2 linked regions of the Xenopus tropicalis genome follow. The protein of the gene in region 2 purifies or fractionates together with the protein of the main gene of each other region. This does not show direct contact. Links are inferred from orthologs where the notes say so. Each region holds a gene or a part of one and is shown on either strand. Other genes may lie near its edges. The genes, in order: iqgap1 and myl6.

Region 1 (16,504 bases), on a different chromosome or scaffold from region 2:
TTAATATCTTTATATTTTGTAATAGGAAGCACATTATAGACAGTGACCTCTTACCTTTTATATCTGCTATTGGCTGCTTAGTATGTAATTCTGTATGTCCTGTGTATAAACCTTATTGTACTGTGCTTTGGAATATGTTGGCGCTTTATAAATATCTGTTAATAATGTTAATATTAATCTATATAGTCTCAGCCACTACTAAATCCCATTATCCAGAAAGTTCAGAATTACAGGAAGGCCATCTCCCATAGACTCCATTATAAGCAAATCATTCTAATTTTTAAAAATGGTTTCCTTTTTCTCTAAATAATAAAACAGTACCTTGTACTTGGTCCCAACTTAGATATAATTAATTCATATTGGAGGCAAAACAATCCTATTGGGTTTTTTATGTTTAAATTATTTTTTAGTAGACAAAGTATGGAGATCCAAATTACAGAAAGATCCCTTAGCATTCTGGATAACAGGTCCCATACCTATGTAAGGAGACGGTATTTTTTTTAAGAAAGATAACATATCTATATGACATTAACGCATGGCAATCCAATTTATGGAAAGATCCCTTATCCAGAACACCCCAGGCCCCAAGCAGTTTGGATAAAAGGCCCCATACCTGTACTAAAATAGATACATTTTAGAAGGGCAGCTTTAGTTGTTACTCCGTGGTCGGACAGGCTTCCAGAGTATTACAGCATTTGCTGGTTGCCCACAGCCAAGGACAATTCCCCTAACACTTTCTTATTTACACTATATGTCTGTATCCTGCCAGTTACCATCTTGGATTTTGTTAGGAGTGTCAGTGGGCTCTGGGCAGCTGTTGAGAGGCTAAGCTTAGGGATGATCGCAAATCAAGCAGAAAATTAGGTTTGATGTCATAGAAGCTGATGCTACAGGGCTGATTATTAAATTCTGATGCAAATTTCACTGGTTTTTCAGCTGCTGTGTAATGGGAGTCTGAATTAATTAATAATCCACCTTGTATTTTGAATTTTATATTCTTTATATGCAGTATATGTTAGTCCCTAAGCTCAGGTAAGTGACAGCATACATACCTTGCAGTAGCAGCCATTTACCCATAGTTCCAAGAATATCTATGACAGAAAGGTCTTAAGGTACCCATACACGTGAATATCCGCTCGCTTGATGACCCGCCCTACAGGTGGACGATATCGGGGAACATGTAGACTAATTAATAATATAATAGATAATTATAATGGCGGCAGTGGGGCAGTCGGTTTGGGGAACGCATCAACGAGCCGATGCGGTCCCCAATCTGACTAAATCTTTTAACCTGCCCGATCGATATCTGACCAATTTCAGGCCAGATATCGGTCGGCCAGGCTCCTCGTTCCTGCCCCTACACGGGCTGATAGGCTGCCGAAATGGTCCAAGGGACTGATATCGGCAGCTACAACCGCCCTGTGTATGGCCACCTTTAACCAAAATAATTGACTTAAGGTGGCCATACAAAGTAATATCTGATCATTTGACCAAGGAGCCAACGTGATTCTTGTCTGATATAATTTATGTTTAGATATGAGTTGGGCAAGTCATCGGAAGTAAACCATACATGAGCATGGAAAAATGATGAAACATGGATTTTCACTTTCGTGTCTGATACAGAAATCCCCAACATTTCCTATTTTATTTTTTTTTAGACTTTGGTTGCCCTGTTATGATCTATTTTCTGACCCAACACTTACCCATAATGAATATAGATTTCACACACAAATACAAATGATATTTTTATTTTGTTGAACAGAAGTAAAGATGCAGGCCCACGTACAAACAAGGGACCTTATCCATATTCTAGAAAACTGTAAAAAGACAAATATAACCTCAAGAAACTTTTTACTTATGGTCACTAATAAATTAAAAAAAAAGTCTTAGATGGGAAGATCCCACATTTCTAATGAATTTTAATTCAGAGAATGGGTTTATTTAGTGAATTTAACTTATATATTGCATGGGTTGTGGCATTTTAATAATCTAGGATTCATAAGATAATTTCCCTATAAATTATGTTTTTAATTCTTATATTACAAATAAATGTATAATTCTTTTTAAGGAATGTGAAATATATTTCTATTAGCACATATTGGCCTGTCTACCTATGAGAAATACATATTGCTGGATCATAGCTCATTAACACAAGCATACAAGGGAAGACAGCAGTGCATACTCTGAGTTCAGGCTCTCAGTACTACATTATATCACTCTGACCTTACTTTTATATATATATATAAATATAAATTTGTTAGCAATGTGCTAGTCACTTTTAATGCTGGACTCTGCCAAGCTATTGTATTTCTTCAAAATAAATGTTAAGAAACCTATTTCTATAAAAGGCTTGTGTCATTCTTAGAAAACTGGAACTTAATTTACAATATATTTCCTGAACGTTTAAAAGCTAATATAATTCAAGCAGTGCGCAAGCATGGCCCTAGAGACTACCTACTAGTACACAATATCAGCATTGGGTATCAGGTTCCCTCGGCTATAGCTCAGTTAGCAGAATGAACACATATTCTTTCCTATGTCTGCATGTATAAAAGGAACTAACATCAATATATTTTCTCTTTGATTCTAAATACTTATCCAGCTTAGGTTTCCTGGACAAATTGTGTTTTTGCATTATCCTGAGAACGTGAAAAAAGAAAAAAAAATAAGCATAATTTTGGGTGGCATTAACCACCGCTATTCCAAAATTAAAAACATTTCCTTTAAAAATATGTTTCCACATAAAACAATGGCTAATACATCTTTAGGCAGCTATCCTACCTACTGTATATTAGTCTGGCAATGTTGCAAGCTAATTTAAATTATTCTGATTAAAAGGCATATCTAATATAAAGCAGGGCTAATTAAAATAGTTAAACTGGGCACAGTTAAGATTGATTCCAGCTGCTTTTACTGTGGCAGCCAATCATTTCCTTCCATTGCAGGACATGTGCATAATGTTAAACAGTAACCCCCACTAAAACTGATGTCAAGAAGGCTGTAATGCACATTACAACAGCTGTATAGCATTCAATTAAAATCAAGCAGGGAAGACTACATTGTGGCTGATTTTGACTAATGAAATATAATAGTGATTGAGGACAAGGCTAAATTCTTTATTCTTTTTTTAACTTGTGCTCAGACTATTCAGCTTTTTGGTCCATCAATAAAATCAATAATAGCAATAATAATGAACAGGTGATCGGAGGGGGGGAAAAAGTACAAAATACCGAAACAAAACATATATAGTGTATTAGTGCATTTACTCTTGTTGCTAACCAGCATTCTAGATAAAATTTGTTCTTGACATCTAAACTAGATTCCCTAAGCTAGATACATTTAGCTATGTAACACTATATTTGGAAGCACCAGAGCCTTTCTAGTTTCTTACAGCAGGCCTCAGGATGACTTCTTTACACAGATGGATGCTTGCAGAGAATGGGCACACAGGCTCGTGCAGGTATAAAGGCAGTTTGTGTTGGCTGAAGCCACAGTTTGACAAGAAGGCATACATATGATGTTTATCCCAAACTATTCCCTATCTTCTCCAATGACTTCTTATTTCCCATAGAATTTCTTGTTGATGAGGAAGATGAGCAGGTTAACATTGACCTTTGCGCGATCGAACAGCTTCATGACAGCAACACCTTCATACTGTAGTTGGAGAAGATCCTGTCCAAAAAACAGTGACCGTGAACATTTTCTTACATTTCTAAGCCCTGCCTTCACCAGATATAAAATATATTTACAGAGAAAACGGATGTTAAATATAAATACAATTTTTAAAAGTAATTGCCAAACTTATGGGCCCTTTAACTTCTTAAGGCATTGCCTTTATTTCTGTGTTCTGCAATTCAGTCAGGGAGGTGAAGGAAATATAAGTAATGATTGGTAAAGCTAAAAAAGCCTGTGGGTCACCAGTGCATCCTTCAACAGTGGCCCCACTGATACATAAGGAAGTGACCTCTTTAGGCAAGGTTCACATAGGTAATGGGGAGGAATGCTTTACTTATATCTCGGTTAATAACATACTAGAACAATCTTTGTAGGTGGTATTAGAAAAGTGGTGCTTTAGAGGTAGTAGACAAATTGGGTCATAATTGCAGGTTGTGGGAATTTACTAAAGCAGGAAAATACTGGGCCAGGGTATATACAATGATTACAATTGTAAGGAAAGCCCTAGAGGTGGTACTACTGAACATAGAAGGGAACAACTAAGATATTTGCTATTGCATGGATGTCTGCTCTACTGGATATACAACTTGTTCAATCAAGGCTTGCCATCTGGAAAAGGGGGCATTCAATAGCATTGCAAAAGGACAAAACAATGACCTTTAGACATTTTAGGGTTAAGGGATCCAGTTTAAGGCAAGATGAAGTCAGGAAGGATTTTTTTCCCCTCTTCGGCAAATTAGAGAGGCTTCATATGGGGTTTTTTGCCTTCCTATGGATCAACTAGAAGTTAGGCAGGTTATATATAGGCATTATGGTTGAACGTGATGGACGTATGTCTTTTTTTAACCCAACTTACTATGTTACTATGATCTTTAACTTTGCCTGCCACAGTCCCATTTCAACCTTGCCTATCCACTCTTTGGCCTAACTACAGTGATGTATTAAGTTGAATGGATAGGTGACCTACTATTTTTATTATCAATTCTATGGGGGAGAGAGGGGTTGGCCTCTACGTAAAGGAGAAGGAAAGTTAAAAATCAGTGGGGGATGTCAAATGTTAGGAGAAAGCCACAGCAGCCTGGAGTAGCCTCTTCCTTCTTCGAACCAGTTACGCAGTAGAAAGAAAAGCCACACTTTAACAACAACAAAAAAAAGCAGCAAAAGCAGCTTTTTCACTCTACTGCACATGTGCCGGCCCTGGGATCCAGATGATAGAAGAGAGAAGAAGGAGGATCGCTGGCTCGCAGCTACTCTGGGCTGGTGTGGTTGTGGTGTGGAGCACCAGCCAGGGGTAAAAAGGTAAGCAATTAAAATCACTGGGAAGGGGGGGATGGGAGGCTGCTTCAATATTTAGCCATAACTTTGTAACAATGCAAAATTTTAAAAAGCTATAAATTGCCTAGACTTTATATTTTCAATAGTATAGAAACATTTTTCATGATTGTTCCCCTTTAAGGATGTAGATTTTAAAGATCCCTGGTGTAATGTGGGAGTTTATTTGTTTGTGATTTTTGTGTTTCAGTATGGATAGTTGTCAAAATCATACCTGGTAATGCAGCATGAATGTTTCCATCTGAACGCCCATGAACTTGGCTTTCACCTCAAAGTCACCAACTTCATCTGTGGGAGCGATTTCAAAAATCACGTTCTTGAATCTGCACAGGAAGAAGAATAAGGAACCAAATGACATATAGATGGCGAATGTGATGATGTCTGTCACAGAATGATGTATGGGTGTGCCCCAATGGCAGTTTATGAATAAATGATGCCAAACTGAAGGTTAACAAACTAGTATTTAGTACATTTTAAAAGTAGAAAACTTAGAGAAAATGTATATACATTTTCTCTAAGTTTTCTACTTTTAAAATAACTATCCACATATTTACCCCAACTTTTTCCACATGCTCCTTTCTGCTCACGTTACTTAATATGAAACAGGGGAGGGAAAGATTAAGTAGTTAAATCTGGATTATACTAATTCATTTCTAACTGAGCTAAAAGCTTTATGTTTATTTTAATACCATCTAATGCAGTATACATCTCTAATACAGATTTAAAAAAAAAATGATGCAATCTTTGAAAATGGCAACAGAACTAGGAACCTGCTGTGATGCAATACCCAGAGGGAAGGCAATATGGCTAGAAGTGGAAGATGGGTGTTGCTCAAGGCAAGGGAATATAAATTATGTAATTAAATGAAGACTGGATTTGAGAAGCTGCATTTTAAAGAGAGATGCTACTACAGAGAGCAAGACTGTAAGTAAACAAGTCATGTAAACTGTTACAGGGACTTGGAGGAATTTGTGATGCAATGATAAACCTCTGTAATAAAGAAACGTAATTGAAAAATGTTTATACGTTTAAAAGTTTGTGTCAAATTCAGCAGCAGCTGTATAAGAGGAGGATAACAAATCAAGCAGGTGCATGTTATGGTATGGCACATCTTCACCACTGGGCATACTCAGGTTTTTGAATCTAGATGCAGCCCTATTATACCAACAAGGTAAAGCTTGTTTCAAGGCTCAGATTTCCTTACATACATTATAAAAATATTCTCCACTCTCCAAATTTGCTAAAATAAGCATCTAAGTAATATTCTTTAACAGAAACTTGTTTGTTTCTAATTGCAAGCATTGCACTGCATACAAATAGCTACAGTGGTGCTTTGTGGTACTGAATCTATACATATTTGTACTCAGAACCCACAAAATGCAGTGTGTATCCTTGTTGTCCTCATGCAAACCAGGGAATGTAGCAGCCAAGTAATGAGTGATCTTCCCCTTTGGGGCAACCAGTTCTTGGCAAATATATTCTTACAACACTGTTTACATTGTAAATGTCTTATTCTATAGTACAACAATTTTTTCTATTGCCACTGTCAGAGTCAACAGAACTTACTGATTTGCTTGAAGGTCCTCAATTTCTAGCAGTACCCCTTTCTCATGCAGCCGTGCCGCAGAGTATTTCAGTGATATCTTTTTACTCTTCTTCCCTTTAGCTTGGCCTGGTTTCTTAGACAACCTGGTGTAACGGTAAAAGATGCAAAAGTCATCTGAAAACATAGAACAGCAGCAAAACTATGTATCCAAATTTAAAAGCATAATAGCTATTCTTCCATAAAAGTGAGTCTGATGTAAACCTAATAATGTAGATTCATAGAAAAATTGCTTTTAACAAACCATGTTAAAAGCCAGAGAAGGCAACCTCCTCCATCCATGCTGTCTGGTTTCTAATTCATTTTATTTTTCTAATTTTTATCTTATTGTGCTATGAAAAAATAACAAAAAGCTTAACGAAGAAATGTTTTTCTATATGGACATGTGTTTGCTGACATTTAGCCATACTGTATTAACAAGCTTAAGCAGCATTTGCTCTCAAACACTTACTTGCGGTTGCTTGCCAAGTTGTCCATACAGGTTTTGATATAACTCTTGTAATAATCCACTTGTTCCTCATAAAATAAAGCCTTAGAGTTCAACGCTGTGTGTGTCTGCTGCAGCTTCACAAGCTCTGCCTTTCGTCGCTGGCGGTATCGCCTTTGATTACGGATATCCTATATTGCAGAAACAAGAATTAGACAGAAATGCCTACTGAAGACTATACTTAGGGTTTTGTTTACTTATACAATGTAAAATATATAAGTTTCAAACATTTGTCTTTACATCTGTATTTGATTTAAATAATCCTTATTGGATGCAAAACAATTCTATTGGATTTAATTAATGTTTTATTGATTTTTTAGTAGACGTAAGGTATGCAGATCCAAATTACAGAAAGACCCCTTATCCGGAATACACTTGGTCCCAAGCATTCTGGATAACAGGTCCTATACCTGTACTGTCCAATTTGGTCATCATCATAGGGAGAGCTGTGGCAACTCTCACTTTGATATTTGCAGATGCCTGATGCGCATGAGCAGATATAATCTCACTGTAGACACACCAGAATCTGTAGGGATTGCAGGCCAGTTAGGGATATGTGAATAAATAGTTGGTAAGGGTCAAGTGAGCCATATTTACTCCCCAACTAAATCTGTGCATGGTTGAAACAGTGTTCAGTTGTTGCAGTTATGTTGCAATATGAACAACGACACTTATTTCTAGAAACATATAAAGTTTATTTAAAGGAGAAGGAAAGTCTAAAAACAACATGAGCTCAATAACTTAGCCTTAACACAGTCCTTAACATATTTCCTGAACTCACCGTGCTGTTGCTTCATCTGGCTCTGACATGGAAAAGTCTTGTCAGTAAATACAGTACCTGCTCTAAGCCTGTGCAGCTTCCTGTCTCACTGAACACAGATTGTCCAGGACACAGACATGCTCAGTGCACAGCAGAGAGCTCCGTTTTTTTTTTTTTTCCTCACAAGCAGGGGGGAGGGCGGGCTGCTGCTGCCAGGGAGATTGTTTATGGAGGGGGAATTTGTGGAGCTGCAGAAACTTTCTAACAGGAGCAGGGAGCCGGCTTGTACTTTTCAGCCCATTCAGACATGCTGGATAAGATGGCGGCGCCGTTCACTGAAACAAGCATGTAAGTTCTAGCATGTGTATCTTTGTAAATCTTTCATTAGGCAAGCCAGGAATATAGCGATTTTACACAGCAGTAGTAGTACTTTTTAATAGTGTGCTTAATAGATTTTGCCTTTCCTTCTCCTTTAATAAACCTTGGTTATTTTAGTTATTCCAATGGTAGAGAAATGCTGAGCTCCCTTATTAGGCAGCCCTATGCCACATAATCCAAAGACCATTGCAGCAACAGCTTGCCTTCTCATTTCCCTCAGTATAGCCCACCTCCTTCACTTTCATTGATTAATGCACTACCACTGTGCTGCTTCAGGGGGCACAATTTCTGATGATTTAGCATCAGCAAAGGCAAAAAAAATATTTTTTTACTGACGGTAAAGCTGCTATTGATACCATGGTTCTTATAATAATAGTCATTAAGAACTAGTTACATTAGCTCAGCAACCAATGCTACAACTAGCAATGGATTTAGCCATTTACTTGAATTTAAGGAGAACCACTTATGAAATACTACCATTTGTAAATCCTCTTTATTTTCTGTCCAGCCAATACAACCATACCATTCCATGCTATCTAATATATACTCATGTCAATTTACCTTGGCAATGTCATTGATGAGATCCTGGTACCGATTATCTGGATTAACCAAACCCATTTCTTCAAGCTTTTTTAAACCGGCTTTTATCTTATCCTTCTTTTCCTGAAGGGTTAGGTTGCTGTCTTGCCTTAGGCTCTTAGCGGTTTTCATCTTATCTGGGGTTTTTGCATCTCTCATAGCTCTCCTCTGCATGGCTCGCAGATGATCTGACTCCTGAATTAGGACAACAACACAAGTTGTAGAGCACTTGCTGGCAGATGCTTCCACATTTGACAATAGAACAGATGCTGATTACATTTCAAAACTGCATTTTCTCACATACAAAGTACAAAATTAACCTGGTAACTTACACTTGTCAAACACCTACAATTATTATATTTAATGTATACAAAAGGTGCACAAATATCCATCTCTGACTACATAGCCGCACTTGGCTTTTTTTTTTTTACCTGTTCATTGGTTGCTCGAGTTTCTAAGATTTCTGCCAAGGTTTCTCCAGGCTGGAACCGAATAACATCCACAATGAGGCGTTTTGTGCTATATTAGGAAGAAAAAAAACTGTTTTGTTTGTGTTGATAAAAGAGGACTTTGAGATATCACTGAGAATACTTTATATTTTTTCCTAACTTTGATGGCATGCAGGGCATATCCTCTGACAGCTTATTTTAGCCAGCAAAGAAGCATACAAAACATCCACTGCTAATTCTTATTTACTTGAATGGGTAACACACCACAGCGCAGTTACTGGCATTTTTCATGGTTGAAAAAGCTCTACTGAGCATTTTTAAGCTGATAAGAGACAGCATCAGGGCTGTCATGCAGTTTCTATTAGAGTAAACAAAAGTTCACCATGGGTGTTTTGGGCACTTTACCACTAGCTAAAATGCACTTGTGGAGAATGTTCCCTATGTGCCATAGCCCTAGCACTTATAAAAAGAAAAGAGTCAACAGGAATAAACGGCAAACTGCGATTTGGCTCTTACTTCAGCATGATGGTTTTTGCATCCTTTTCTGCATTTTCATCACCAAGAATTTCAAACTTGTTAGTTAGTGTAAGTGACACCTCTGTTTTTGCCAACGAATCCATGTTGGTGTCCCCTGCAGAGCCTGGTCCTTCCCCTAAATGAAACAAAATAGCGAGTTACCCTTAATCTACAGAGCTGTGCCAGGTGAGATTGAGAAGTCCCACCCATGGTAGTTCTTACAATAAGAATTCTTACAGTAAGTGCATTCATTCCGCATCTTTTTTCCTTTACAAGTGTTCACATGGCCAAGTTTAAATCAAGAGACCTATGCCAAATGCTTATAATTTGTCTATGGTATAACTGTAGCTTACCAATAAGAGACTCAATGGTTGGAACCTCTCCCAGGTCATCCAGAAGTTCATGGATTGGATCGTTATGCTCTGGTGCTACAGCGTCCTGATGGTCAAGAAGCAACTGAAATAATAGTTCCAAAATTAGTTATTCCATTTGCTGAGGTTCAGCTTGCTACCCTACAAAGCACTGAAGTTAATAAATATGTGAGCTGTTATAGATAATAGTATACCTTTGCTTACTGGCACAGTGCATGTTTCTTAACATTAAATAAACAACTTGTAAGTAAAATGTTATTAAAAACTTTGTATAGAGAAATCCCCAGGATTTATACATGAAAAGGACTTGCTACAGGGGACTGAAATGTGAGCGAGTATAGTAGTATTCTGGGTACATTATCATACTGGGTCCCATATTATCAAACAAGCTTTAACAAAAGTACATGGAACCAAACCCTGCTGGTATATCAAGACCATGAACGTTTCTGATACTGTACACTTGTACATTGTGGTTTCTCAACTAATTATTATTTCTACACTCGTCTTTGGCCAGTGCCAATTTCTCCACTGGTGATACTTATATTGTAAAACAGGTCTACAGTATCAGTAACTTCTACTTCTATACAATTATACTTCTGTGGAAGTTGACATGGGGATGTGCGCCAGGTTGAAGTTTGTTATGGCGTGCTGACTTTGGGAATCTTTTGTATAATATCAGAAAACAAAATGAGGGTCCAGCTGAAAGCCAGCAGACTACTTACAGTGTGGGTGTTAACAATTTCTCCAATGGAAATATAAATAACTGGCTTTGTTACAGTCACCAGATCTGAATATTCATCCACATTAAACTTGTCTTCGAGCTCAGGAACTTCACAAGCTGACTGGAAAAAGCGCCTGCAGAGAAGAACACAGATATAATCATGTATGAGGTTAAGCAGATACCAATATTTTTAGGGATATTTAATTGCATACAAGGGAAATACGATACCCAAATTAAAAGGCACATTTATATCATATGTCCCCTCCACCAATTGAGCCACACTATGCACACTCCCCAATACAATGCCCTAGGCCGGGACCTGTTAATAAAATACAAGAGTAGCGCAGTGGGGTTGGCAGCCACTATCCCTTTTTGCTTGATGTCTTCTTTCCAGGTCTTTGACAGCCAGGAATGTACATAGTTGAAGCCGATCTAGTTCTAACTTTAAAAAGGCCCTGACACCCTAAGAAATAACTCCAAATTATTTTCTATTGTGTTTTTCAAGCAAAATAAACTTACACTATATAAATAATATTAATCTCGTCTTGGAATTGCATAGTCACAGCAAGCAGGTAGGTGCCATTTTGTGGACATTATTATTATTATTATGGCAGGCTTTGTATCACCTGTGAAAGTAATCTAGGATTATATATATTAGTATGTAAGCATATAGTTGCTGACATACTAGTTGCTTTTACAAGAACAAGAAATCTATACTATAACAAAATGCCTTCAAGGGTTCAAACAATCAATCCATAAACTGTGTTTTTCTTGTTTCCTTTTATTTTGTTGTCATTTTTAATAAAGACATACAAAATGTATTGGTTTAAAAGGGAAGTCACTGTAATGTCCCTTTAGGGTTACAAAAAATAACCAGAAATGCTCCTCAAGTTCACAGCTACAGATATTAAACCCAACCCAATGCCTAGGTGGAGGCAACATCTTTGCTATGCCCCTATGCAAACTCTACCCTAGCTCTCCAACGGAGCCCTGTACAAAATAAGCCTTATGGCTCTCATAAAATAGGACATTTTAGCTCTGTGGAATTTCAAAAAAGACTTTTATTGGTTATCTGTCTTGAGAATAACAAAGTGCCACGTGCTCAGTGCCAGTTTTTTTTACTGCTGTATCTATTAGTTACTGTACATTGCCGGCAAAGAGGGATCACCTATTTACAGTGCCATTGATTATTAATGACCATAGTATATGACTAATAAGCTATATAATATTTTAGATATTTACAGTACATGTAGAAATAATACAAATGTAAAATCTTAAAACAGCGTTAACCAGTAGTGAACTAAAATTACATTTAATAGTGCAAATAGGGGCCTTCACAAATTGAGGACCACAAAGCCACAACTGGCCCCCTGAATTAAAAAAGTTGTAGCACTGCTTTAAACCAACGGCCCAAGACCTGGTTAGAATTCCTTATTTCGCGAGGCTGTCAGCCAGTGAAAGTAATAATGTGTGTTTTCTCATTTAACCAATTAAATAAATTACTGCACAGACCTGAACTTCTGGTATGACTGTGAAAGGTATTCATTGATGGCACTTAGATGAGCATTGTCTCCAAGAAACATCTTGTTGGATGCAGCATGCTGAAGCATCTTTGCAATAGAACCCAGGTTCCTTCGCTGATCTGTGGTGAGCTGTCCTCCAGCAGAGAGGTCAATGATGTCAAAGGCATCTGGTGCCACAATGGCTGGGTTCATGTAGCGGTAATATAGCAGATTTCCCACAATCTGAAAGAACAAAAGCACTAGTTAGAGAAAAAAAAAAACCAGCAGTAAACATATAGTCAGTCACCCAGATCCTGTGGGAGTTATGGGTGCTTTTCAGCCAGCATTATTGGACTCCACAGCTCCTGCAGTGACTCTGTGTAAGTGACAATATAATTTTCACTATAATATCCAATATCATTTTTATAAAGAAGGACAATAGTTTCAAACTCACAGACCAAGTTTGCCCTGTCAAATGATGGTTCTTTCCTGAGGAAAGACATAGAAATGGCTATACAGTGCACCAGTGCCTAACAGAAAGAGGGATAAAGGGCAGTTGAAAACCCTGAGGTAATATGTTGTCTGACTTTGCATACTTACAGTAAGCTCTAAATGGCAGAGCCCTCTTTACCTTCAGTATCAAGACAGTGTTTGATGTGTACACCCTTCTATTGCATAGTACTGCAGAATATGTTGAATCATGTTAGTAATAAAAAGATGAGGGTTAGGGAAGGGCAGGCAGTTAAAAGTAAGTGTTCAGTATGCATGCTACAGAAGCTTAGTGATGGCTTAGGAAGAAGAAATACGGGACGATTAAAAAGTCATTGTGAATAATCTGCGCAGCAAAAACTCGCGAGCGTTTAGTTGTGGCGACTTCTATTATATCTTATGGAAGAAATGTTGATGCAATGGACTTAGTTAAAAGTCGCAGCAACTAATCGCTCCATGTGTCTTCACTCTTACTGTACATGGGACAGAAAAGTGTGACACCTTAGCATGTAGGGGCTGCATATAGCTGATGCACAGCTGCAAGTACACACTTTATTATTATTATTATTAACATTTATTTATAAAGCGCCAACATATTCCGCAGCGCTGTACAATAAGTGGGTTTCATACATTGGACATACAGAGGAACATAAAGCAATCAATAAACGATACAAGAGGTGAAGAGGGCCCTGCCCAAAAGAGCTTACACACACTTGTGAAATTTCACCTTTGGTATTTGTTTAACAGATAGAGAAGAATGTATTATTATAGTAATTATGCTTTACCCCTAACTTTAGAATGTGTAACTGTTCAGCTCATAGATTTATCCTAGGCTGGCCCTATCTCTAACTGGCTATCTACATCCTTCCTCATCATCTACAATAAGCTTCCTATTGTGCACTACATTTCCAACAAGAAACTGAAAGAGGGCAGGCAAGGAGTGTGGCCTGATATTGTAGGCATGGACAGAAACTTGTGTAAGGTTTTTTTACATAGCCTGGAATGCAATATAAGATAACATTACACTGGCATTGGTAAGAACAAATGGGCTGGAAATTTTGAGAACAAAGGGCAAGGTCACATGGAGCATAGATGCGCTTTTCCGTCAGGCACACAAAGTGTAAATCCACTTCTCAGCCCAGCTTTTTTCTGTCAGACTTTTCCCTGTGCTAATCCATGTGCCTGCACTGAAAGCTGCAGTATCTGCCCAAGTGCAGGCACACACACTGGGGCAGATAGGAGGTCACCCTGAAAAAGGCAGTGAAGCAGATCTGCTTCTGTCAGCCTGACGGGAAATAGCTGGGTTGAGAGAAGCTCCATGTGCCCATACCACAAAAGTCTATTTCCCTAAAGGGGGATTTGTCTTAAATGGGAGATGGAAGGGGGTAGGATGCACAAACAAGTGAATTAGAGAGGACAAAATTGTGCAAAAAAAATAGTGAACAGGCCAAAGTAGCAATGAGGTTAAAAAGAAAAGCTGAAAGGAGAAGCCAAAATACACCTTGGGGGGACGTTAATATGTGTTGTTTATATGAAAGACGGGGAGTTAGTGTAGAACAGAAAGACATGGTATTAAAAAAAAGTGACCAGAACAGAGGACTAAAGGGGGCACAATGCTGGCAAGAAAAGTGGGTCATGAAGAACTTAGGAAAAGCTGTAAAGGAAGACAGAGGTGCGTATGAGAAATAGAAAGGAAAAAAGTAGGAGGGTGGGAGGGATAAAATGTATTCTCTGCAACAATGGGCATAGGGCACATACCAGCCATTACTGAAACCCATTGTGCTCATTTGCATGTGCTTGATAGTATATTTATGTACAATCCCTAATTTCCCTGTGGCACAAACTGTAAATAAAATAATGAATAATGTATCCCCTATTGTAAAATATAAGTATAAATTAACCCATAAGCAAAAGGCATGCAAATTACAGTGGAGGGTACAATCTACTATATAATACACAACAGCCATAAATATCCTGTAAATGATATGGTTATAGCAGTGCTTAGTGATGTCATCAGTTATAATCGGTGCTTAGTGATGTCACTGTCACATGACTCACTGAAATTTGTTTATTATTACAAAAAATAATGTAACCCTTGTTGTGAAATGAGGATATTAGAAATGTCTTCACAGTTCCATGAAGTGTATAAAAGCCTTCAGCCTCAGGCCTTTTATGGTCATGGAACTGCTTAGTGACTTATAGGGGCCGATATATTAAAATGTAAGATTAGAGCTCACCACAGAGAAAAACCACACACTTTCTATTCATTCTTATGGGATTTTTGGACCATATTTAACAATGGGTGAAAGTATATAAATACACAGTATCTAGTAGAATTAAGTCTAAAACAACTGGACTTTTCTGAGTTTTTCTTGAAAACGTTTCACCACTCATCCGAGTGGCTTCTTCAGTTCAAATGACTGGTAGGGAATTCCCCGGTATTTAAACTCTTGATGGTAGTAGAGTCACAGACATCCAATCACAATGGTTCCATTGAACTTGTTCAGTTAGGTGTTAGCTGAAACTGACAGGTGTAAGAAGGTATGATCCAATCACAATGGTACCAAGATTCTCATTGATGAAGGTGTTAATCCTTCAAAGTACATGACTGGAAGTGTGAACTGTTGTGAAACTGCCGGGGTAAGGATGTCAACGCGCCATTGTATGTTGGTGACAAGCGGTGTCTCAGGCCCCCTCCTCTGTTCCGGGGAATTCCCTACCAGTCATTTGAACTGAAGAAGCCACTCGGATGAGTGGTGAAACGTTTTCAAGAAAAAACTCAGAAAAGTCCAGTTGTTTTAGACTTAATTCTACTAGATACTGTATATCATGACCTGGATGAATGAGAATCTTCATAGACATATATAAATACACTTTTAAAAATCCCATAGGAATGAATAAAAGCAGGTACATTTTTCAGCCCTATAATATCCACTCAGTTTATATGCCTACAAAGTATATAGAGCTTGCCATCAGTCTAGCTCCACCTGAAAAAAATTCCCCTCTACATAAAAGAATAATCTGCAGAATCAGTTTATCATTGATGTCAGGGGGAAGAAGCAGTAAACAAGTTAGTATACAAAAGGGACACAGTCATCAAAAAAACTATTTGTATTTGCCTGAAAACAATATACACGGTTCATTGGATGGGAGCAATGTTAACATATGATTTAACTGCAATCACTAAAAAAGTGTTGTTAATACACCAATCAGCCAATAGAGAAAAGAGAAAATCACCTGCAGAACTAGAGCATAACCGATGTCTCAGTGCAGAGAAGAAAGAGCTAGAAGAACAGAGAAAAATAAAGCTTTCAATAACAGTGCAGCAAGGTCAGCAGAATGAGCAAGAAAAGAAAGGACTGCAATCACAGGACAGAAACAGCGGCAGCGCCCAATTACCTGCTAATCCACAAGTCACCAGCAGAGAGCACAAAATGACTGCAAGTTTAGGAAGAGCGAGCCAGAAATATCACAGCCATGTATTACATAACAAGGAAATGAGAACAGGAAATGGAAGTGTGTTGGAAAATAGAATATGTGTTGCAGTAAATACTCTAATTATCACTAAATAAGAATTATACATTAAATGTGCATACACACAAACACACACACACCTCTCAATGGCATTCAGCTAGAACAAAA
Region 2 (17,168 bases):
TTATACTCGTGAGTTACATTTAAATGAAAAAGTGTTGGGGAGCAACACAAGTATGAAAAATGTTCCTGGTGGTGCCAATAAGAGCTATAATTGGCTATTTGGTAGCCCCTATGTGGACTGGCAGCCTACAGAAGGCTCTGTATGGCATTATACTTGGTTCTTATACCAAAACTTGCCTCCTTGCCAGAAATTCAAAAACGAGAACCTGCTTTGAGGCCACGAGGAACAACAGCCAAGGGGTTGGGGAGCAACATGTTGCTCCTGAGCCACTGGTTGGGGATCACAGCTGCAAGGGAAGCAGGTTGAATTGGAGATTCACTGTTTATGTAACTGTATAAGAAAGCTTCTAAATATAGTGAGTATATTGTGGAATGACAGAGGGATCCTCTATGTCACGCAAAAAAGAACAACCTGGCATGGAGTAGCTGTGGTGGGGGGTGGAATGGTTAATCTGCCCTTATTAGGTGCTGCCTGCTAGGGAGAAGGGGGAAATGCCTGGATCTGTTCATGTGGCTGCCTGCCTGTGCCGCGTATCTAGGGGCTCACCTTGGTCTTCCCTTCCCTGCATGGTATGCTTCTGCTTCTCGCTCTTAAATAAATTAGAAAATCGGCTCATTTTTTATTCCAACTGATAAATATTTAGTGAGGGCTAGCAGTGTCACTCCTGCCGTTTCACTATGTCCCATCATCTGAAAACTGTAGGAAACATCTGAAGATCCAATGCTGTCTTTGCGGGCGGATTTTCTGCCCTGCCCAACAGATATCTGGATGGTTATGCAGACTGTTGAGAGGGCCCCATACATGGGCCAATAAGCTGGAGACATGGTCTGGAGGGGCCAAGTTGACAGATTTTGTAAGTCCATGCGTATGGCCAGCTTAAGGCCACCAAACCACAAAAAGAGCTAAAGAAGTGTAAGATTCCACCTTAGAACCTGTGAATTTCTTTAAAATAAATTATGTTATTTTACTTAGATTTTTTTCTTCTACTAGGCAAGAATTATATTCTGGGTTATTCTAAGCAACTTTGCAATATAATTTAGTACATATTTGTAATGGTTTTTGAGTTATTTTTATGTATAATTGCTATTAGAAGCAGTGTCTGTCCTTTCTATTCTCTGCCCTGGGGGCTCTGACTCTTGAAATAATGTAACACAAGCAGCAGAATGACAGACCTGTTTTACTGGAGGAGACTGACCTTTGCAACATTGTTTAAAAAGCAAATGCTTGTTTTCAATAGCAATTACATGTAAAGCACTGAAACTTTTAAATACATTTATATTGGAAAGTTGCTTAGAATTATGTTTTCTTTTATTAGGCAAAAACTTATTTTTGGGGTTGACATGTCCTTTAACTATTAGTTGTTGCAGAAGGAAGTTTTACTGCATTAATTTTAATTTGGAAGGGAAATACCAACTGACCTTGTGGCCTTATACAGTCTATTTTTGTAATGCCATTTTAGGCAGGTTTAGAGAGCTGGCAGCCAGTCAGGAGGATAGGATACATAGCTAAATTACACACCTTAATTATAACCTGCTGTGTTTTCTTCCACGGGTGAATGGGGCACAGATATTGTTTGCTTATATCATTCTATAGGTGCAGTCCTGTGTAAGAAACTTTTCTAAAAGTTTTCGGACTCCAAAATGGCAGTTGTGAATCGGCACTGTATATATGTATATTATATATATACATACACATATATACATGACTAAATATGACCTATAGTCATTTCCCCATTTCCTGCCTCCTCCTGAACATAATCATCCCCATTGTGCCAAGCTTAAATGTTTCTTCGCCTTGTCATAGCAGAAAAACTGCAGAGCAGGGTTGGCAGCTGCCATGTTTGGCCTCATTGCTTGCTTTTCCTCAGTTACGTGGTGGTGATTAATGATCAGCAATATTCACACTGAACCAGGGCCACAGGCTCTTGTAGCTAAAACTAGGACTGGAACTGCTGGAGCCAGCACCAGTGTGTAGCTCTTCATCCATAATGAGGTCAGTTCATTTGGCACAACATGGATACCCTTATTTTTTCAAAATCTTGTGATTTAGAAGCCATTATATAGTGTATGGTTACCTTCTACAGTTATACAAAGTGACCGTGCCCCCCCCCTCTAGTGTAAACAAACCCCAACTTGTCCAGCCTTTACTCATGACCAAGCATTTCCCTTGTTTATGTAGTGGGTTTTTTTTCTGGTGTCCCCTGTGTGCCATTACCCTTGGTCAATGTTTTTTGGCCTCTCTATTTCAGTAATGCTTCTTCTTAATTTATAAAGCAAAAATATCAATCTATTTAATATCAGATAAGTAGCCCAAGAGAGATAATTGACCATGGATCATATATAGCTGGCAGTGGTGGAACCAGGATACAATTTAAGCCGGCCATACATGCACAAATGTTATGGGTTTTGTACGATATTCGGCGATATCAGTCTCGTCGATCAGGCAGGTTACAAGATTTTGATCACTGAAAGGGTTAAATCCTGTAATCTCTGTTCGTAACACCTGTAGCACGAACTGTTAGGGTTAAATCTCTGTAACTCTGTGCACCTGTAGCACTGTCCCTATAAGCAGTCACGGACCGGTCCGATTTAATCTCTGTGTGATGGCAAGATATCTGATATGTCTCTTCAGGCGAGCTGATCAGGGTACTTGTACAAACGATACAACCAGTATGTGTATTGCAAACAAGTACAAATTTATTTTGTTTTGATATTACTTTTATAGTAGATAGGTAAACACATCCCATTATGCTTACGTAGCATGGGTGGGCACATATGCCTTACAGTTATTAGCAAATAACAGAAATTCATTAAAATGGCTACTGAAGCTTATTATGGTTTCTTAGCCTTGAAAATAAGCTGAGATACCCAAGGCCAGAGCAACTTGGACACAGACAAGATAATGAGGATAATCATAACAATTGAAGTAACACATACACAGGCCTTCATGATTGAAAACAAAATTGTGTAAATTCAACATTAAGCAATTTAGCCCCTATCACAGCATTTAGTAATTTAATCCCTATCAATCACGCTCTGTTGAAGGCGCCAGAGCAAAATCTACATTTGGGGCTGAATTGGCAGGTGGAGGTAGGACTTCTATTGTTTCTACCTCCATATCAGATGATTCAGCCCTGAATGTCAATGGAGGGTGGAAATCTTTCCTGCGATCTTTTCCTAGTTTTATATGTAATTTTATGTACACTGAAAAAATGGTGCGTTCCCATCAAAAACAAATCTATAGTTTTGATACATTAGCTGCTGTGTAGCTATGAGGGCGGCAATTCAAGCTGATTAGAGCAAAAAAAAAAAAAACGAAAAAAAAAAACCACATTACACAGCTCTGTAGAATGCAGTGGGTTTTACACAGGAAGATAAATTGGTCAAATGCTCTTGACACTTGTAAAAAGATTACAAACCTTATTTGTGGACTATTAATGTATTTTACTATTTTCTCCTTTGATAACACTCAGCAGAACAAAGAAATGACTGCTGCTGTCTTGTATAGGTATAACAGAAACCATCATTAAAATAGTATGCAGAATGTATGTTCAGCAAGAGCCCTGTAAAATTAATTCTTTCCCTTTCTCCTGATGCATCTACCCCTCAGAATGATTTTAAGATGTAACTTGTGCAGAGAAATGAAACAAATCACAAGATGTCTTGGAAAAAGTCACTCAGTTTATTTGATGTTGGATAGGGGAAAAAATAGAAATTTGAAATAATTTATCTTTCTCTGCACACTACAGCATTAAGGAAGCATGGGGGGGGGGGGTGATATGAAAAATTATTTTGCCACAATTTCTACCGATGTTCATTTAAGCTGTAGCTGTGGGCCTCCCTTGTGATGTTACAGAAAAAATGAATACGAATTTTGCCACTTGCGAGAAGAAGGGGGTGACTGATGGGATAAGGAGGAAGCAGAAAAGGCACTTACTATATAGCCTGTCTTCCTCTCTAGTGAAGGGCTTGAATAAATTGCTAACTAACTTCCCCCCCACACTTCATCCCCACTGGGCAGAGGTAAACTAAAGGAGAAGCTTCAGCCGTTCAATATCGCCCGGATAAGTTCTGTAAATAGAAATATAAAAATATGTTAGAGAGAAGGCATAGCAGGTAGAAGGTGGGCTGTGCACCCAGCTGTTTGGCACAATCTATGTAGAAGTGTTTGGGCCAGGGAGCTGCTGCACTACCAACTTTGCAGAAGTCCAGTAACAATGAGGGGGAATAGGGGATGCTGCATAAATGGTAGTGGCTCCACTGGCATCTCTCTAACGTTTAGGTGATTTCTTAAAAGGAAAAATCAACCAAATATCAGATTGAGAGGGAACCCTGATAATCTGTTACCAGCTGGAGCGATTTCCAAACCCTCTTAGGCTTACAGTCATTCATCCCCTCACTCACCCCATATTGTGAAGTGAAAGACTCTGATCTGAAGGCTCTCTGCTTTCCAAAGAATCTGTGCATCACGCACTATGGAAAACAAGGGACTTAAGTCCAAGAATCCATCACTTCAACCCCTCCCTGACCTTGTCCTTTTGTGGATGACTGTGAGCCAAAGGAGGGTTGCAGAAATGGTTCCTACGAGACAGACTATCATGGGTTCCTTACAATCTGTGGAATTAGGTATGTCTGTTTTAAAACTATTTCTGGAAGTTTAGATAATGTTTATGCACCATTTTATTTAACCCATATGAATGAACAAAATAACATCAAAAAGGGGTGTTTGTGTATTCAAAAAAAATGCAGTTAAAATCCAGACATGGTAGGGATGTTTAGCCCACTCATTTTCAAAGAATTAAGCCACAGAAATCACCAAGTCCTGTCAAACAGCAAGTCACAGTACACAACCCACTGGTGAAAGGAGGGGGCTCCTGTGTGCATTGCAAAGTCCAGTCTGTTTCTTCCAGCAAAGAACCCAGATGGTACTGCATGGAAAGAACAAACCCACTCACAGGAGCACCAACCCCCATAGCTTACGAATGGTATGCTCCAACATCTATCAAGTTTGTCTCTATGATCAGCAGAACAGAAAGTCAATTATGGCACCATATAAAGACTGAAGTATGAAAGTTTCGTCCAAAAGCATGAAAGGCCAGAAGAGGTCTCTAATATCTACAGCACTGCTAATGTCTGGAGGCAAGAGAAGCAAAGGGGTTCTATGTTGGAGCAGAAGGAAGTTACTGTACATGCAAACCTCAGATCTACTCCCAATCTGTACAAGCAGCAGGGAACCTTGTACCATTTTCCCAATAACGAATGTATTCCTTTGGGTTACCTCAGATAAGGAACTGTGCACTAATATAGCAGGACTACCCCCTTTCCCCATCATTATCTTGCCTGGTCACAATGAGCTTAGGCAAATAATATATATTCTACAGTATTTTTAGTTTGTAACTTTGGTAAACATTGATTTATCTGCTAAGATTTCCTTCCGAAACAAACATACAGGATTTTACAGTGCTATTTAGCTGTGGCTTTAATTTCAATGCCAGCATTCCATCAGCAGTAGCTAAAGGGCCACAGTTCCCCTAAATATTGTTTATTTGCAATGTCACCTACCAGTGACCAAGAGAAGGTTGCTAGCTGTTCTAAACAATATGGATCTGAGTGTTACCATAATGCACAGAAGACACACATACACTATTTTATAAATCACACAAACACTGCCAGTTCAGTGACAGTAGCTGGCTACCAGCAGAGGACGCTTTTAAGCCAAGGATAAGCTGCAATAATAAATATAATGTGTTAGCAGCAGTCTGTTAAATGCTATCCAGACACAGCAAGGAACATGCAGATAGGCCAGGGGCAACCAGAAGAGAAAAACTGGGCAGAATATACTGAAACTAGTAGTAGGAACCAGCATACCCACTGAGTGAAGTCACGAAGATAAGATGTTCCTGACAAACACTGTGGGAACGAAAATCATCAGAGACAAGATATCATATACCATCGTGCACATGTGGGCCCACCACCCAAAGTACAGTTACATTCCCAGTAACACTACTCTCCCAGAACATTCCTAATCGGCTGCCCAGCATGAGTCCTCAGAAACAATATTATTCAACATTAGATAAAAACACTTCCATAGCAAGATGCCTGTACAGTGCTCACCTTCATAATTAATGCAACCATTAGCATCCTCATGATTACTTAAAAGGGTCTCTACTTCATCATCTGTCATCTTCTCTCCTGTGGAACAGAAACATTAAGGGTTACGTAACAACTTCCATAACAAGCGTAAGGTATGTTCTCCAGCAGCTGAAAATGATCGGACACATTATAGTAGTCGGTAATTTGCATTAATGGATCAAATATGGTTCAGGTGCTGTCCTGCTAGTTAAAAAAAAAAATCATCATCACGTGCGCCATAAGCCTAGGTGCCATACAATTTCTTCTGGTGTGATGCCATTCAACATCCCACTGACAAATAAAAAATCTAATTTATCTTAGGCCTTGCGAGTATCAGTCAGTTGTTCTGCCCATTGTTCTGATCAATGGTAGTGGATAGTCAGCAGGCTAGCTAACACACACATAGCTTGCAAGGGATTGTGTTATTACCGAGGGAAACCAGGACATGACGCAACTCGGAGCCCATAACTGTGCCATTTCCCTCCTTGTCGAAGACTCTTAGCCCTTCTATGATGTCCTCCAATCCAGGTACATCCCTGTTCTTGGCAACTGTTTGCATCATGGGGAGGAATTGCTCGAAGTCAAGTGTCTTGATGTTCATGTCTGCAGGAATAAGAGACAGAACAAACTAGCACCAGCCATACAGGTAAAGCCCCCTAGATAGAAGGTTACATAGCCAATAGGCTAGACATTGTTGCTGTTTCAGGTACTTTACTAGCAGTTGTGTGGCACAGTATGATGGTGCTTTATGTTTTGCCTGCAACACAACCAGCAAGAATGGCTGCAAAATATTCTCCTTCATAAACAATGGGAAACGCCTGTATGTATGATGCAATGTTGCAATTACTGGTTCCACCGTGTTTGCATGTAATAACCCTCATCATATATCTACAAGTGATTCTTAGTTTAATGAGAATATTTAACTACTAAGAGAGCCTTTTAAAGGAAAAAAAAAAAGTGTAAATATAGGCAATGACATGAGACACTGGCCTCTAAAAAAAAAAAAAAAAAAAAAATATTTTGAAACTGCCCAGCATACAGAAATATGGAGCGGAGCACACAATACTCCCTGACAATACCCAGGGCACACATTTACTCAAGGCTCTCATTCCTTGTCTTTTCTACCCACCTTCAGGCTTTGGGTTTCCCAAAACCTTCATCACCTCAGCATTAGTGGGGTTCTGCCCCAGTGCCCGCATGACGTCCCCACACTGGCCGAAGAGGATTTTGCCATCGCCGACACGGTCAAAAAGTTGGAAGGACTCCTTGTAGTCTGCAAAGTAAAAATGAATTGAAATAAGTTAGGGCATGAATGGCTGAGAGAAAGAAATGGCCCGATGCAAACTCACCCAGTAATACAAAGTGTGGGGGTCAGTCACTGGCAGTGACACAGTTACTGGAGCAGCTTTGCAGAATTGGATGCACAGAGAATTCATTGCATTAGCGCAGAAATATTTAGTTAACTAGCACAAGGTGACAGTGGGTCACGGAGTAACCACACGGACTCTTGGTATTTACCAAATAAAGATTTAGGCACTTTTCCTGTTCATGCCCCCACCCTTCACAGGTCCAATATTTTGTCAGGGGCCCTTTATATAATTTATCAGTGATGTTTAGTATATCTAGAGCTGCAAATATGCATTCCCACAAATTCCCATGCTAACTGACCTTCGGACTGGGCCCATGTCAACACTGCAGGATTGCGCCATAGGCAGGGGACCAATGATACAGGACACAAGCAGACAAGATTTCAGAAGCTTTGTCCAAGTAAGCAGTATAAAATCACTCTCCATTGGCCCCTGTGACAACCACCTTAACGCAAACACACACGCGTCAGCATGCAGGGTCAGCAGTGCATACTTACAAATGTAAGGGCACATATATTCCCAACAGCACAGCTTATTGTTAGCTTTCACATACTGAGCACTAACTTACTCTTTGCTCCCCTATAACATGTACTAACCAACTATATACATATAAATACTACCAGGCTTCCTGGGCTTTACTATATTCAGAAGTCTGAACATGATCAGATGGATCTCTGCTGTCCAAAAATCTGCATTGCCCTGCTTTAGATGTTGCTGGACTACAAGTCCCAGCATGCTTTAAATCTTTAAAAAATATTGACGAATGATGGGATGTTGTAATCCAGCAACATCTAGGGACCTGAAGGAACAGGACTCCCACTGCATATAACAACTTCCATTATATATATATATATATATATATATATATATATATATATATATATTTCTACATCAGTTTCCTCAAGTATTTGTTGCACAGCTATAACATCTGCACAAATGTCTTGGCTGAAGCTGTACGGCAGCCCTTAGACTAGAAATAGTAACTGCAAGCAATCAGGCGAGTGGGGGGGGGGGGGATCCCGGCAATTTCCTTCCTGTGGCACTCCCTAACCTGACCCCTCCTGCTGGATTCCTTTCAGAGGAAATCATTTCAAATGGAACGTTTCCCTCTCTGCCACACAGTAATACGCCCAGTACAACCCACAGCAGATCTGAGGCTGGGCTGCACCAACCCAGTGAGGGAAGAGACAATCCAGCCTGCAGGCATCAGCCCGGCAGGAATGCAGGGAGCTCAGCCCCATCCTCCTCACTGCCAACCCCTCCTCTGCTGACAGTTCTGCACTGACAGGCTCAGAATGAGGCTTTGTTACCATATAAGGCATCCAGAGAACAGCCTGGCAGCCATTTTCCTCTGAGGAGAGGGAGGGCGTGTGTGTCAAAGAACAATGTAGGTACAGGAGGAACATAAACACTGTCTGCGCCAACACGCCCAGAGCCCTGCAATAACCCGATACAGGAGTCTTTAGCCATAGCTCTGATGGATACAATCCAATTACATGTACATCCATTATGTCTATTACAGGGTAGTACTGGCATGTCCAGTCCACCATGGAATTAGCCTTCTGCAACAAGAGCTGGTTAGAATGTGAATTAGAACAAACCCCTCCCACACACACAGGGGGGTCCTGCACTGCTGATAAAATTAACCCCTTATTTGCCAGAGATCCTGGGTGCTTAAGCCTAAAGTAGATTAGGGAAAAGGCAACAACACATTTCATGCCAATCACAAAGTTGGGCAGATTTTGCAAAGAAACAGAACACTCTGGCTAACTTATGGCCAAACATGCATCACTGCAGAACAGGGAGGGGCAAGGCTTGTTGCTGAACTAGAGTTCCCAGTCTCACAGACAGCCAATCACTGGCACAGGAGCTTTAATGACACAATGTCTGGGAGAAGGAGGATTGTCTGTTTGGGGGGCCAAGCAGAACCCCAAGATTAGAAAAATAAAGCTGAAGGTGAGTAGGGAAGGAATGAGTGCGGGGTTAGTGTGAGGGGCACCCACTTACCGGCCGGCTGCTCTGGGTACAGTCAGGCTTGAGAGGGCAGAGAAATGAGAGAGACAGGGTGAGCATGATGGGAGGAGGGAAGCGAGGGAAAGACACTGATGAGCCTGAGCCTATGGGGAGACGGATCATCACTATCTGGCCGCGTATAGAGACCAAGCGAGCACTTACCGGCAATCTGGTCGTCGGAGTAGTCGCACTGTTCAAAGCAAGAGAAACACAAGGCATCAGACAGGCATAGCCTCCCCAACACACCCACCCACTAGGCCCAGGGCGACACGGGCGGAAAGTGATCCCCAGCAACCTTGCCGATGTCTCCCACATGTAATAGCGGCAATCTATAGGCATGGGGAATTGTGCCAGGAAAGGGCATTGCATGCCAGCGGCAAGAACATCTGCCAGGCAATGGAATCCACCGATGTTGCGCAATCTCCTCACTAGCAATGGGACAGACAACTTGCGGCCCTCCAGCCTTTATAATGCAACTTCAACCTGAGACTTTTGTCTCATCAGGTACTGAAAGGCCGCAGGTTGGACAGTCCCAGCTTTGGGGTTAGACCCCTAGGGAAAGACTATCAGCTGCCGAACACTCCTCACCATCTTGACGCGTCTTCTCCCTTCCGGAATGTGAATCGCAGCTCCCGGTTTCTTCTCTTTGTAGCCCTAACTACGTCATCTCCCCGTCACCGCCCCAAGCCCTGGCAACGTCAAACGCAAATATACGTTGTGCGCTCTCTGCTGGCCAATAAGCGGAACTGCTTGGGATGGGTTTGTACTTTTATCGCAAGTGAAATTTTCTTAATTAATAATGATTTAATCAAAATTATGTTATATCTAACATTTTAATTTTTGTATTAGGAAAAACATTATTTACACACACACACAGATAAATGCGTAAAAATGTATATATTTTACTGGTCACTTATGTAATCACTACATTATGTAATCATAATTATTTTATAATATCTAACACTTTCATTTTATTTATTAGGCAAAAACAGAAAGGTTTATTACTTAGTTACTTAGTAATAAACCTTTCTATTTTTGCATTTACATTTTCTCACAATTCTTTAAACCCTAGGAGTGCTGTCATTGTTCCAGTATATATATATTCTTACAGAGCTGGTAGGGAGCAGGCACTCAGGTATTTTTATATCAAAATGCCTGGGTGCAGTATACAAAATACAAGTGTTACAGTTGAAACAGAATACCACACTCACAGGACTTAGTGAAAAAATGTAGTTATGTTTTATTGTGAAAAACATCTATCTAACGTTTCGGCCGTATCCACAGCCTTTCTCAAAGTGAACAAAGTAATTACAAACCCACTCTTAAACCCACAATGGCGCCAAAATGTAGCGCATTTTTTCACTAAGTCCTGTGAGTGTGGTATTCTGTTTCAACTATATATATATATATAGTCTGATATTTGCATAAAAATTTATATATTGTACTGGTCATGTATAAAATCTGCTTACCAAATGGTATATATAATATATTTTATATATTTGTATATATACTATTTCCTATAAGGCCGAATACTGCGTTTTTTTTTCAAGGATTCGGTTTCGGCCGAATCCATGCTCTGCACCGAACCGAATCCGAAAGTGCCCCCAATTGCCCCATAGAGTGTACCCCCCATAGAAAGTACCCCCAATAGACCGCGCCGTGCCGTGCCCCCCATAGAAAGTACCCACAACAGACCAAGTCATCGTCGGCTGCTCCTTCTCTCTTATGCTGTGGCAACAGGCCCTTTTATAAGGTTGCGCCTGTGCATATGAAGTCACACGTCAGCGACGAGGTGCAACCTTATAGAAGGGCCTGTTGCCGCAGCATAAGAGAGAAGGAGCAGCCGACGATGACTTGGTCTGTTGGGGGTACTTTCTATGGGGGCAATTGGGGGCACAGTTTATGGGGGAAATTGGGGCACTGTGTATGGGGGCACTTTCTATTGGGGGCACTGTCTAAGGGCAATTGGGGGCACTGTGTGTGGGGAGGACTGTCTATGGGGGCACTGTGTATGGGGCAATTGGGGGCACTGTGTATGGGAGTACTGTATATGGGGCAATTTTATGGGGGGCCTGTGGCCAGCATAGCGTTAGGGGGGCCTGGCCAGCATAGTGTTAGGGGGCACTGTGGTAGGGGGGCCCTAATACTTTTTATGTCTGTGTGTCCTGTACTGATGGGAGGGGCCCTGGGGGAGGGGGGCCCAGAAAATTTTGTTGTTAGGGGCCCCGTGATTTCTGATGGCGGCCCTGCCACCATGGGCAGCCACGGACCCACAGCTGGATCTACTTTTGACAATTATGACATGCGCACCGCATTTCAAATTCAATCAATCACTTGGAGGTTTTATAATCTATACCAAACACAGTTACATTGCCAACTGCACAGATGAGACGGTTAAAGTAAATGAAGTCAGGCTTCCATTCTGCTGGTATAGCTGAACAGAGGGGTCTTATACTGGAGGTTACATGGCAACTTCTGCAGAGATGAAAACCTATAGATACAAAGCAAATGTAACCTTGTACCTTCAGCTTATACATTCCCATTGTCACTACTAGTGAAAATCCTATTCCTACCAGTGTTATTCCCTCTTTTATGCTGGGCTTCAGTGATAGGTGCTAGCTTGTAGATTAACTCAGTAAGGGGGCAGGAGATGGGCTATTTGCTAATGCTATTTGAATTATTTACTTTATGTGAAATGGCCTTGGTGCCAAATAAATACATATACGGATCTTTCCCGCCGCGCCACCATCACCATTAACTTTCATTTGCAGCAACATACAGTAGGGGGTTCCTCACGGTGAGGGCAGTGAGGTTGGGGAATGCCCTTCCTAGTGATGTGGTAATGGCAGATTCTGTTAATGCCTATAAGAGGGGCCTGGATAAGTTTTTGAACAAGCATAGTATCCAAGGCTATTGTGATACTAATATCTACAGTTAGTATTAATGTTTGTATGTATAATTTATGTATGTGAGTGTATAGGATAGGTCAGTGATATAATCTCTGCAAGTATGCATTTGATTTTTTTTACTTTCTTTTAACTTAATCAGTGCCTCAAAGGTGTTGCTGAACCTAAACATTAATGCTTTATGATCTAATTTATATTTATTTATTGATTGTTGTACTTGTATATATGTGAATTGTTACACTGGTGAATTGTTAATTGGTATTAGCGATGGTGAACATGATTATTTTTAGGTTTAAGTTAATGACATAGACTACTACTATGTGACCGTGCAATCATCACACTCCCAGTGGCACCCCCTTCCTGTTTGTATCATCACACTCCCAGGGGCACCCCCTCCTGTCTGTATCATCACACTCCCAGTGGCATCCCCTTCCTGCCTGTATCATCACACTGCCAGTGGCACCCCCCTCCTGCCTGCACCATCACACTCCCAGTGGCACCCCCTTCCTGCCTGCACCATCACACTGCCAGGGGTCCCCCTTCCTGCCTGCACCATTGCACTGCCTGTTGCACCCCCTGCCTGCACCACTCATATTCACTAAACAGCCCACAAGAATGGCTGAGGCAGAGGCGATTCTGTCTTAAATGCTGCCCGAAGCAGCTTTAGCAATGCCGCCCCCCTTAGCCCCCCATGCTTATTTTTACAGTGCCAGAGGGGTCTAGGCAGGGGCCGCATCGCTAGTACAGGGAGCGCAATTGCAGGGTGCTGCTGCCTGAAGTGAGTATCTCATCTTGCCTCATGGCAGCAGTGACCCTGGGCTGAGGTTCTCTTTAAGCTAAGCCTTAGATACCCTTTTATTGCTTGCCTGCAGGAAAATTGTAAATACTATGGTACCTGCTATCAGGGAGCTGCTGATGCTGTTAAATTTCTGTTTCTCAGGTACTCTTTGATAAATGCCTTGCATAAATATTACAGAAATATTACATTACCTCAAATGGTACAAGCAAAGCTAAATAGACTGAGGAGCACCAATTTCACCTGTGTATTAAAAATCTCACTTTTGCCCCGGGCAGGTGCTCTTGTTCCCAGGATTATTCCCATGTAAGCACCGTGCCCAGCCTGCTGCCATCTTACACTTTTTCCCAGGGATCTTTGTGCCTCAGTCAGACTTCCAGACTTGCACAATACACAATACAGCAGCTGTTTCCATCTTTATTATACTGCATATGCGCAAGTATACTACAGCACAGGGCATCCTTGGGCAAACAGGGTAAGGTGGAGGTTACAAAACAGTAGAACCAGACCCAGGAAAAAAGTTAGCACTTTAATACACTGGGAATTTACAAATTCTAAATGAATCACTGTATAGAAAATGCCTAATGCTAAGGTAGAGGGTATTCTTTTTGCTTGGAGATTGGTGCACAATTTATTACCCCATCTGCAGTCCCTATCACATCCAGGCTGGCCAAGAACTTCCCATGTTTCTCACCAACTGTGATTTTCAGGATGTAAAAAAATGTTTCTTTTGGGAGGGTTACCACTTGATTGATGGTTGGTCTGTTTAGCCAATCACTATGAGCATGTATGCATACCTTTCCAACAACTAGAAATAAAAAATGAGGACATTAACAATTACACCCTCACCCACATAAAGCCATGCATAATTATATTTGCCAATCTGCTTGAAACCCTGCCCAGTTTTGATTTTATTGGGGGAATTAGGGGGTATGTAGCTATAGAAAATAATAAATATGTGTTTTGGTGGGTTGCTATTGTGTTGTAGACAGGCAAAAAGTTATTATTTCCATGAAGTTAGCCACTAGGTGGTGGTAAAGCCATGAAACTTTAAGCTGTTTATAAGGGGTATGTTGTGACCTGGGACATGGTGGCTCTGAAAAATTATACAAGTATGTGAATGTCTGCAGTGAAGGTACAGTAGCAATTCTCATAGTATAGTTTCTATAACTCATTTTAGAAAATGAGTATTCTTTTAGCCAACATGCAGCTTTTATTAGTGGTGATCCTTAATAGATATCATGCTGACATAGGGCATAGTAGAGGCTATGACTCTAAGGACTTTAAGGACATGTAAAGTTAATTTTACTTGGGGCGGGGTGCCAAAATGTTAGGCACTAAAATTTTCCTTGGGCCCTAGCATCTCAATACCTTCATTCTATGCTTTGGCACTTGGCTATCTGTATATGGGCAATAGAGTAGATGGTGCAGGTTTACTCTGCTGAGCATGCCTGAATAGGGATTGTCGCAAAAGATGCTTGGGAAACCAGCCAGAAGTAAAATGCTGGTGTAGCGCTGATACCATTTTCTCCTAACAGAAAACTTTACCAAACCTTGTCTCCCCTAACCACACAATAAATGGAAGCCAGTATGGAGGCTCATTGGTATTCAGCTAAAGAGTAATAAATGCTATGGTATTTGGTGTGGCCAAGAATATATATCAAAAAGAAATCCTATGGAATTACACTCCCAGGCTCCATGCCAGCCCACTGCAGCAACAGCACAAGGCAGATACACAACAGCCAATGCAGAATGGATTTTGTTACATGGGGACAAACAAAGCTCAGCCAGCTGGCACTGCAGGAGGGATGAGACACAAGTGCATCAGGTTAATTAGTGATATATCTCAGTGCATACCCAATTTACTGGAAAGGTTCTGTCATAGAGGTGTATGTACAGGAAAAAGGTGGTCATTCTGGCACACTGTCCCTTCCATGGGCCTGAGCAACAGGGCATGTTGTAGGGGAGGGAAAGGGCATTTACCTTGCCCCTCTGCATAGAGGGACCCTGGGAGCAACTTGAATTGAAGTACAGATGACAAACTGTATTACTAACAGCTTATTTTGAGGCTATGCAGAAGCAATTTTAAACCTGTGGCCATTGATCCGATCTTGTAGAACAATAAAGAGCCTTTCTGCATTGCCAGTCCCCCCTTGTCAAAGTCTGACCTTGCTGTGTAAGTGAGAGTTACATTTCAAAAACAGGACAGTGGTGACAAATGTAAAAACAAAATTCCAGTAGGATGGTTTTGTCACCAATACGGATTTATGCAGCTTAGTTCCCTTGCAGTGCAAGGTACTGTCTTATCATTACAGACTAACAGGAAAAGACATTGCTGTATTTCAGGGCTTTCTGGATAAAGCATATATACAGCATATACAGGTATGGGACCTGTTATCCAGAATGCTCGCTGGGGTTTTCCGGAAAAGGGGGCATTCCTTAATTTGGATCTCCATACCTCAAGTCTGCTAAAAATCATTTCAACATTAAATAAACCTAACAGGATTGTCTTGCCTCCAATATGGATTAAAGAGATTCTGTCATGATTTTTATTGTATAGTATTTATTACTATATTGTGACTGTGAAAATAATTCACTCTACCATTTAAAATTTTATTCTTGAACCAAGAAATTTATTTTTTTAGTTGTAATATTGGTGTGTAGGTGCCATCTCAGTGCATTGTGCCTGAGTCTGAGCTTTCAGAAGGAGCCAGCGCTACACATTAGAACTGCTTTCAGATAACCTATTGTTTCTCCTACCCCCATGTAACTGGAGGAGTCCCAAGCCGGACCAGGATTTCTTACTATTGAGTGCTATTCTCATTTCTACCACTAGGTGGAAGCATTTTTAGCAATACCTTCCTATTAGTGATGTGTGGGCTGGCCCGATACCTGTGGAAACTGTGGGTTTACCTGTCGGTTGGGCAGGTTCGGGTCCAGGTATGGGTTAAGCTCTTCCGCTCACCCTCCACACCAGCGACCTTACACTGCTGGCTTCTGTATTTATAGGCGTGCCCCCGCTATACCACACCCCTTGTATGACATCATCACAGGGCGGGCGCGGGTCTATAAATATAGGGGAGAAGCCGGGTTGGATAGGATTCGGGTTGGGAGCAGGCAGGCTAGGGTAGTGTGCGGTCCCTCACATCACTACTTCCCATTGTTCTGCTGATTGGCTGCTGGGTTGGGGGGGGACAGGAGGGGGTGATATCACTCCAGCTTGCAGCGTAGCAGTAAAGTGTGACTGGTGTTTATAAAGTCATATGGCTGTGGGCACCTGGGAACGTAAGAATTTGTCTAGGAACATGTCTAGTGCATGAAAAATGCTAATGAGTACAAGCCCTTATGCTGTAAGTGCTGGACATCTTTTGTTTTTGTTCACCGATATGTGTGTTAAAGCACGACTGCTAATCCTATGTTAAAGAAAGCATGCTGAAGCTGTTTAATTTTTACTTAAAGTAGACATATTGGATAAATTTAAAAAAACCTAATCTTGTAGGCAATTAAAAATAATATATGGTATTGGTTTCAGTTTGAGCTACAAATTAATACTGTCTGTAAAAATGGCCCCTTTATTGGAGTTCCGTATAGATCCTATCAGGTCTCTGTCCTTGTTTCGAATGGAGGGTGGGCGTGTCCTAACGGCCCCTGCCAGAAGCACAGTAAGAGGGGGATAGCCAATCACAGCCCTTCAGTCACACAAGCAAAGACAGGCTTCAGTTCCCTATCAGGTCAGCCTAGCTGCTGATTGGTTCCTACAGTGCAGTGTACTGAGAGCCGCCGCCTCCCCTGCACATCCAGAGAATTCAGCCAGCAGGAAGTGGAACAGATGGGCGGGACTGGTAGGGTTTTGTGGAAATTTCTCAATAAATCAGTCTATATTTAGAGCAGTATAACGCACCTACAACTGCCCCGTAACTTTGGCCCCTGCTAAACTGAACCTTACAGTATATAT

Evidence for each region.
Region 1: the proteins of myl6 (region 2) and iqgap1 purify together in Homo sapiens (affinity purification with mass spectrometry; 4 studies listed by BioGRID and IntAct, counting the BioPlex papers as one, with this or other methods). This does not show direct contact. The link is inferred for Xenopus tropicalis from reciprocal best matches to the Homo sapiens genes MYL6 and IQGAP1.

The regions. Positions count from the first base shown.
Region 1 is NC_030679.2:106,840,847-106,857,350, forward strand, and holds the end of iqgap1 (ras GTPase-activating-like protein IQGAP1), read right to left. Parts: intron 12,617-16,504; coding exon 12,384-12,616; intron 11,006-12,383; coding exon 10,873-11,005; intron 10,236-10,872; coding exon 10,133-10,235; intron 9,916-10,132; coding exon 9,780-9,915; intron 9,334-9,779; coding exon 9,246-9,333; intron 9,010-9,245; coding exon 8,797-9,009; intron 7,229-8,796; coding exon 7,062-7,228; intron 6,697-7,061; coding exon 6,574-6,696; intron 5,331-6,573; coding exon 5,222-5,330; intron 3,673-5,221; coding exon 3,559-3,672; 3' UTR 1,733-3,558; downstream 1-1,732. UniProt on the Homo sapiens protein: Plays a crucial role in regulating the dynamics and assembly of the actin cytoskeleton.
Region 2 is NC_030678.2:137,519,133-137,536,300, forward strand, and holds myl6 (myosin light polypeptide 6), read right to left. Parts: upstream 10,112-17,168; 5' UTR 10,103-10,111; coding exon 10,100-10,102; intron 9,702-10,099; coding exon 9,674-9,701; intron 7,405-9,673; coding exon 7,261-7,404; intron 6,735-7,260; coding exon 6,561-6,734; intron 6,192-6,560; coding exon 6,114-6,191; intron 5,910-6,113; coding exon of another isoform or gene 5,881-5,909; exon of another isoform or gene 5,868-5,880; intron 4,071-5,867; coding exon 4,042-4,070; 3' UTR 3,661-4,041; downstream 1-3,660. UniProt on the Homo sapiens protein: Regulatory light chain of myosin. Does not bind calcium.